2 linked regions of the Macaca fascicularis genome follow. The protein of the gene in region 1 purifies or fractionates together with the protein of each later gene. This does not show direct contact. Links are inferred from orthologs where the notes say so. Each region holds a gene or a part of one and is shown on either strand. Other genes may lie near its edges.

What was found.
Region 2: the proteins of CLTB (region 1) and CLTCL1 purify together in Homo sapiens (affinity purification with mass spectrometry; 3 studies listed by BioGRID and IntAct, with this or other methods). This does not show direct contact. The link is inferred for Macaca fascicularis from reciprocal best matches to the Homo sapiens genes CLTB and CLTCL1.

The regions. Positions count from the first base shown.
Region 1 is NC_088380.1:183,287,802-183,291,612, reverse strand, and holds part of CLTB (clathrin light chain B), read left to right. Parts: intron 1-3,107; coding exon 3,108-3,225; intron 3,226-3,445; coding exon 3,446-3,557; intron 3,558-3,811. UniProt on the Homo sapiens protein: Clathrin is the major protein of the polyhedral coat of coated pits and vesicles.
Region 2 is NC_088384.1:33,619,518-33,623,328, reverse strand, and holds part of CLTCL1 (clathrin heavy chain 2), read right to left. Parts: intron 3,470-3,811; coding exon 3,289-3,469; intron 1,995-3,288; coding exon 1,831-1,994; intron 719-1,830; coding exon 593-718; intron 1-592. UniProt on the Homo sapiens protein: Clathrin is the major protein of the polyhedral coat of coated pits and vesicles. Two different adapter protein complexes link the clathrin lattice either to the plasma membrane or to the trans-Golgi network.

The sequences.
Region 1 (3,811 bases):
CTGGAGACCGAAGCCCTGATGTGCCATCTGTGTTCCCTCTCCCAGAGCTCCTCCCAGAACCGGGCGCCTGCTGGCTGCGGGATCTTTGCTCATTCAGGCACTGAGGATAGGTGGGCGCCATAGGACAGAGGGTGTGCCAGACACTCCTGTGGGGAGAAGATGTCAAACAACACGGGCAGTCATGGCAGTTTTGATAACTGCTTGAAGGAGGAGGAAGGGGAGACTTATTGCAGGCCAGAAGCCCCAGGAGACAAAGGCGGGGCGGCTGGAGTGGAATGCCTGCAGACAGGAATGCGGAGGGCGTGGGTGCCAGAGCGGGTGTGGCTGGGCCTGGATTGGAAAGGCTTTGCCAGACCAGAGGGTGCCACACCCTTGTGAGCAGAGCTCATAGTCCTCAGCGCTTTGGGTCCCCAGCTCTGGCAAGGGGGGTGGGGAGACGTGAGCAGAGCCCTTGCCTGGGAGTCAGGGACCTGGACTCTAGCCCTGGCTCTGCCACTACATTGTCCCATGTCTCTGGGCTTCAGTTTCCTCCCCTGTAAAATGGGAATAATAATAGTAGTAATTCTAGCTACTATTCACTGAGCCAGCACTCCACACCAAACACTCTTCTAAATGTCTCACAAATATTAATGAAATCACAACAGCTCTTAGCGGTGTTCTTAATATTATTCCTTTTCTTTTTTTCTGAGACAGAGTCTCACTTTTATTGCCCAGGCTAGAGTGCAGTGGTGTGATCTCGGCTCACTGCAACCTCCTGCACCCCCGGATTCAAGTGATTCTTGTGCCTCAGCCTCCTGAGTAGCTGGGACTACAGGCGCGGGCCACCATGCCAAGCTAATTTTGTGTTTTTAGTAGAGATGGGGTTTCACCATGTTGGTCAGGCTGGTCTCTGACTCCTGACCTCATGTGATGCACCCACTTTGGCCTCCCAAAGCGCTGGGATTACAGGCGTGAGCCACCATGCCTGGTCTATTCCCATTTTTTTTTCTTTTTTTTTTTTTTTTGAGACTGAGTCTCACTCTGGACCGGGCTGGAGTGCAGTGGCATGATCTCCGCTCACTGCAACCTCCGCCTCCCAGGCTCAAGCGATTCTCCCAAGTCCCAGCCTCCTAAGCAACCACCACGCCTAGCTAATTTTTCATATTTTTAGTAGAGACGGTGTTTCGCCATGTTGGCCAGGCTGGTCTCAAAAACTCCTGGCCTCAAGTGATCCACCTGCTTTGGCCTCCCAAAGTGCTGGAATTATAGGCATGAGCCACCGTGCCTGGCCTTTTTTTTCTGTAATTAAAAAAATTTTTTTGAAAATAGTGACAGGGTCTTGCTGTATTGCCCAGGTTGGTATTAAACTCCTGGCCTCAAGCAATCCTCCTGCCTCAGCCTCCCGAAGTGCTGGGATTATAGGCATGAGCTACCATGTCCAGCCCCATTTTTCAAATGAGAAAACAAAAGTCAGGCAAGGTTAAGCAATTTCTCCCAGGCCTTACAAACATTTCATAGTATGAGAGGTGGCATCTGAACCGAGAAAGCCAGGCTGCAGAGTCCACGTTCTTCCCCATGGTGTGATCTGAGCTATGATCATGCTGCATATCTCAGGGATTCTTCTCTACTCAACAAACATCTACTGAGCATCTGCTGGGCCAGGCACTGTGCTGGGCTCTGGGGACACAGCAGTGAAAAGGACAGAGGTGACATCCTGATGGCAGAGACAGACAAACACATTATAAAGTAAGGTCCTTTTGGGCTGGGCATGGTGGCTCAAGCCTGTAATCCCAGCACTTGGGGAGGCCAAGGCCGGTGGATCACTTGAGGTCAGGAGTTCGAGATCAGCCTGACCAACATGGAGAAACTTAGCCAGCCATTGTGATGGGCGCCTGTAATCCCAGCTACTCAGGAGGCTGAGGCAGGAGAAGCGCTTGAACCTGGAAGGCAGAGGTTGCAGTGAACCAAGATCGCGCCACTGCACTCCAGCCTGGGAAACAGGGACACGTCATCTCAAAAAAAAAAAAAAAAAGTGAGAGGCCGGGCGCGGTGGCTCAAGCCTGTAATCCCAGCACTTTGGGAGGCCGAGATGGGCGGATCACGAGGTCAGGAGATCGAGACCATCCTGGCGAACACGGTGAAACCCCGTCTCTACTAAAAAATACAAAAAACTAGACGGGCGCGGTGGCGGGCGCCTGTAGTCCCAGCTACTCGGGAGGCTGAGGCAGGAGAATGGCATGAACCCGGGAGGCGGAGCTTGCAGTGAGCTGAGATCCGGCCAATGCACTCCAGCCTGGGCGACAGAGCGAGACTCCGTCTCAAAAAAAAAAAAAAAAAAAAGTGAGGTCTTTTTGGACTGTTAGGAGTTGATACAACCACAATAGAGATTTTAATGACAGTAACATAAGGGACTCACTGTGCCAAGCAGTATTTTTATATTTTATTTTTATTTATTTATTTTTTGAGACGGAGTTTTGCTCTTGTTGCCCAGGCTGGAGTGCAATGGTGCGATCTTGGCTCACTGCAACCTCCGCCTCCCAGGTTCAAGTGATTCTCCTGCCTCAGCCTCTGGAGTAACTGGGATTACAGGCATGCACCACCACGCCCGGCTAATTTTTTGTATTTTTAGTAGAGTCAGGGTTTCTCCATTTTGGTCAGGCTGGTCTTGAACTCCCAGGCTCAGGTGATTCGCCCGCCTCGGCCTCCCAAAGTGCGGGGATTACAGGTGTGAGCCACCCGCCCAGTGTTCTTTATAATTTTTAACTCATTTCATCCTTATGTCCTCCCATCAGGGTGCATACTGTTATTTAGCCCATTTTATGACAAAGAAAGTAGCTGGCACACGCTTTCTTGAGTCTCCTGCTTGGGGGGTATCAAAGCCTATGACTGGGCCGGAGGCAATGATCAGGCACAGAGAGGGTGAGTAAGTTGCCTGCAGTCACACAGGTGGTGGAGTGTTGCTGGCAGAGGGAACAGCAAGTGCAAAGATAGGTGTAGTCACCGGAGACGGTGGGTATGAGGTGGTTTGAGGTCCAGTTATCCAGACATGAGCGAGTCCCCAGCAGGGGCAGCAGAGACAGTGGGGCAGGTGTGCTGGCTGGATAGACTGCTGCGTGTTTGTGTTGTAGGAGGCCAACGGTCCTGCTGATGGCTACGCAGCCATTGCCCAGGCTGACAGGCTGACCCAGGAGCCTGAGAGCATCCGCAAGTGGCGAGAGGAGCAGAGGAAACGGCTGCAAGAGCTGGGTGAGGGCGGGGCTGGGCCGGGGTTGGCTGGGTGGGCTGTGTGTGGGGTGGAATGTGTGGGGAGTCCTCGGAGTGCATGGAACCCTGCATGCCTTAATGTGGGACTGGGCCGGTGTGGCCCTGAGGCTGCCTGGCAGGGGCCAGGGGAGGAGCAGCCGGGGTGGCCAGGCCTGTGCATCCCAGCTGGAAAGCAGCCGCTCATTCTTCTGTGGGGTCCTAGATGCTGCATCTAAGGTGACAGAACAGGAATGGCGGGAGAAGGCCAAGAAAGACCTGGAGGAGTGGAACCAGCGCCAGAGTGAACAAGTAGAGAAGAACAAGATCAACAACCGGTGAGAGGCCTGTGGGGACATGAGGGGGCCGTGGGGACATGAGAGGGGGATATGAGGGGGCTGTGGGGACATGAGAGGGGCTAATGGGGACATGAGGGGGTCGTGGGGACATGAGAAGGGCTATGGGGACATGAGGGGGCTGTGGGGACATGAGAGGGGCTATGGGGACATGAGGGGGCTGTGGGGACATGAGAGGGGCTATGGGGACATGAGGGGGCTGTGGGGACATGAGGGGGCTGTGGGGACATGAGGGG
Region 2 (3,811 bases), on another chromosome or scaffold:
TACGGTAGCCAAGGTGAAGTAACTTCAGTGTTGCAGACACAAGTTATTGTTAGAAGCCTCCTACAACTTGGACAGTCTGGGCAAAACCCTGAAAGGGCTCCTGTTTAGCACTGCGCTGTGTCCCACCAAAATTCACTTGCTGATGTCCTAACCCCTAGTGGGACTCTATATGGAAAGAGGGTGTTTAAGGAGGTAATCAATGCCAATGGTGCGGCCCTAATGCAATGGGACTGATGTCCTTCTAAGAAGAGGAAGAGACACCAGGAATGTATATGCACAGAGGAAAGGCCCTGTGGGGGCACAGCCAGGAGGCCGTCTGCAAGCCTGGAAGACGGCCTTCACCAGAAACCAGCCCTGCCAGCACCTTGATAGTGGACTTCCAGCCTCCAAAACTGTGAGAAATAAATGTGTGTTGTTTCAGTCACCTGGACTGTGTTCTTCTACTCTGGCAGTCTGAGCACACTAACCCACCACCCTTCAAAATGATAGTCTCTGAAATGCCAGATGTTAGAGGCAGCCTCTGAGGTGAAGACTATTGTCACTGACTGGGGCCCAGAGGCAGCCGTGGGTCACTCCAGGGAGCCAGCAGTACCTTCTGCACGTAGATCTCAATGTACCTCTGCAGGTTGTTGTGGTATAAATACAGGACAAGGTCATGGACAAAGCCAAAACGATCGCACACGATGATGAGGGGAAGCTGGTCTGTGAGCTTGGCCTCCTGAGGATTAGAATGCACAGAACAAGTCAGGGAGTGGAGAAACCAGACAGCCAGACCTCGGACTCATTGCCCATATGGGACAGCACTGTCTCTGCAGCAGAGTGACATGTAGGAGACTCAGAATGAGACTGCTCTAGATAGGCTGTCGTTTTGTGGTATGGTGTTTGCTTTGGAAATAAGTGAAAGATAATAGTATTTGGTTAAAGACCGTTAAATGTGGCATTAACATTCCAAATCTGGACAAAAATATCTTTTAAGACAAGCAGCTTATTACGTGCAAACCCAACAGAAACCAGGCCATTCTCAAGAACAGCACACCTGCAGTAAAGGCTGCCTTTTCAGACATGCAGCCGCAGGCCATGGAAACACACCTGGGCACCATTCCCAGATGATGATGGCACTTGGGTAGGACAGCCACAGGTCACCACAATCATGCCTCCCCCTTGTGTGGTCCCATACCTAGATCACATTTCCTGGTTTCCCTTGAAGTTTTAAGTGTGGCCACATGACCTCATTCCCTCCAAGGGGACGTGAATCCAAGTCTCATCTGCCACTTGCAGGCCTCGCCCATAAAAACCACCCATGCTGGTTCCTCTGTGCTCTTCCCGTCTTCTAGCTGACTGGGAAGACGACATCCAGGTGAGGTGCTGAACACCGCAAAGCAGCCATGAGCCTGGTCCTTGAAGGACAGCGGGAAGGAAAGCCACCCCACTGACCTCCAGCCCACCCAGGACTGCCACATAAGGAAGCAGGCTTCCTGTTCTTTATGACACTAGTGCTGAGTGGTCTACTTGTTTCTGCAGCTTTGCCTGCTTAATTGACAATGGCACTAATGGGATGTTGATGAGTTACAATGCAGCAATAAACTAACTCCCTCCACTCACGTGCCAGATACTTAGAGCACAGCCTCAAGCTGCGTTCCACGTTCTTAAAACGATAGAAGGGTTCCTCTAGAACTTTAAGCCATAAGGCGGAGCTCTGTCCCTGGGACTAAGGGGTCCCTGGCGAGACAGATCCAGCTTCCTGCCTCCTGGGACGTCCTGCGGATGGTCTGCCCCACCTGCCATCAGCAATTCAGCTGTGGAACACAAGGAGGCAGTGCTGGAACACACCTTCAGGAAGTTCTTCACACGCTCTGGGTTGTAGCAGCTGCTCTCTCGGCATATCCTCTCCACCTCCTTGATCTGCCCTGTCTTATAGGCAGCCTGAATGTATTTCAGATGCACGTCTGGGTCTTGGCTGAAGTTCACGATTGAGCCCAGGAAGTAGAAGAGGCCTATGAAGAGAGACTGTTTCATTTTTGTCCTTGCAACACCCACCTGGTCTCCTCCGTAGCTGCTGTCCACCTTCCCTCGATGACCCTGTTCCACTCTCCAGGGACCCACCCTGCTCCACTCTCCAGTGGACCCACAGCCCACTCAGAACTCATAATCAATATGCCATCTGTCTGTTTTGGCAGCTCCCAAAAATAGCTAGTCAGATTTCCATCAAATTTGGCAGGCATACCTGGCATGTTTTGATGTAAAATACTAGATATTTGGTACTTGTGAAATTCCTTTTGGGGGCCCAGGTATACCTAGATAGTCGTCGTCAAGAGTAATTCCCACTGAGGTAATCTGAGAGGGCTGTGGGACTGATGCCAAGGGAGAGAGAAATAAGCCACGGCCTCCAGGAGGAGGCCTGCAACTCTGGACAGTAACGACAAGATAGGTACATCCGAGAAGGCCCCCGCCTGTCGAGGTCTTTCACTGTAACTGTGAGACTCTGATGCTAGGAAGGGAATGGGCAGCCCCTAGGCCGATGGTTCCCCACCAACCTACTCTACTGCTCTTTCCCAGCCCAGCTCCACTCAATCGTCCGCCATGGTCTTTCCTACAGTGTTGTATTCTGAAGAGAAGGCCAGATCCCTGAGGGCAGGGTCCTGTCCTACCCTCCACCGATGCCCCAACCTCACCGGACACATGGCAGTGGCTTGATGCCTAGATAAATGCTTAGTCTCTATCCTGGGTGGGCCAGACAGCCCCCACCTGTCCCTAACAAAGCTACTCCCACCCCCATTGCCCTAGAACACTCTTTTGGGGTGATGTCCAAAAAGGGGAAAGGAAGACAACCAAGTTGCCTCGCCAGCCCCTGCTATCAACTGGGTTAGCAGATACTACAAAGCAATGCACCCTCTATCGTGGGCTCTCACTTAGGAGAGGCCCACAGAGCCTCCCTCCTGGGGCTGTGAAGACCAGACATCAGGCCCTTTCATGGTACCCACGACACAGGCTTTTAGATGAATTCTTGCCAGACTGTGCTGCACAGACACACCGGGCTCCATAAGTTTCTCCACTCCATCACAAACCAACCTGATTTCTTCCTTTGGAAATACCAAAAAGGACACTGAAGCTGAGGGTGCACATGAGATGGCAGTCGCATTCTGCCACTGACTGAGCACCCAAGGCAGCGAGTGCTGCATCCTGCCTGGCTTTGCAGGAAGGTCGTTTTAAGTCGGGCAGGTGGACCGCAACACCTGAGAAAGGAGGTGTAGTCACGTGGTGGGGTCGGCGAAAGGCTGCACGGTTTACCTTCATAACTCTTGAAGGATTCAAAGAGTTCCACCAGGGCCTGCGTGCCCAGCTGCTCATGGTACTTAGAGGCCACCTGCACACACAGCTGAAGGTTCTGTCTGATGTTAGCAGACAGCATGGCACGCAGACACTCCACAGAATCCTCCACCGACAAGGAGCCGAAGAAATTGACAAGCCACTGGGAACAAGGAAGAGTCTGTCCACAACAATGCACCACTACAAAGATTGCTAACACTTGGAAAATAACTAGGTCGTTCTCCTGTTCCCCTGAGTGTCAAAAATAGAGAATTTCCACATAAAGGGATTGAAAAGCAACTATCCATCATGGGAAAAAGTAGGAGCAAGGAGTAAAGCTGGGAAAAGACACTGATCTAAACAGTTCACCTGCAATATTCCACAGACGATGCTAAAACTTATTCCATAAGTTGGAACACAATAGCTAGTTCAGCTTTGCTAATGGTTTCAGACAGCCCTGTTAGGTTGTCAGTGTTAAAAGGTGACCAGTATTCCTGCTATTAGA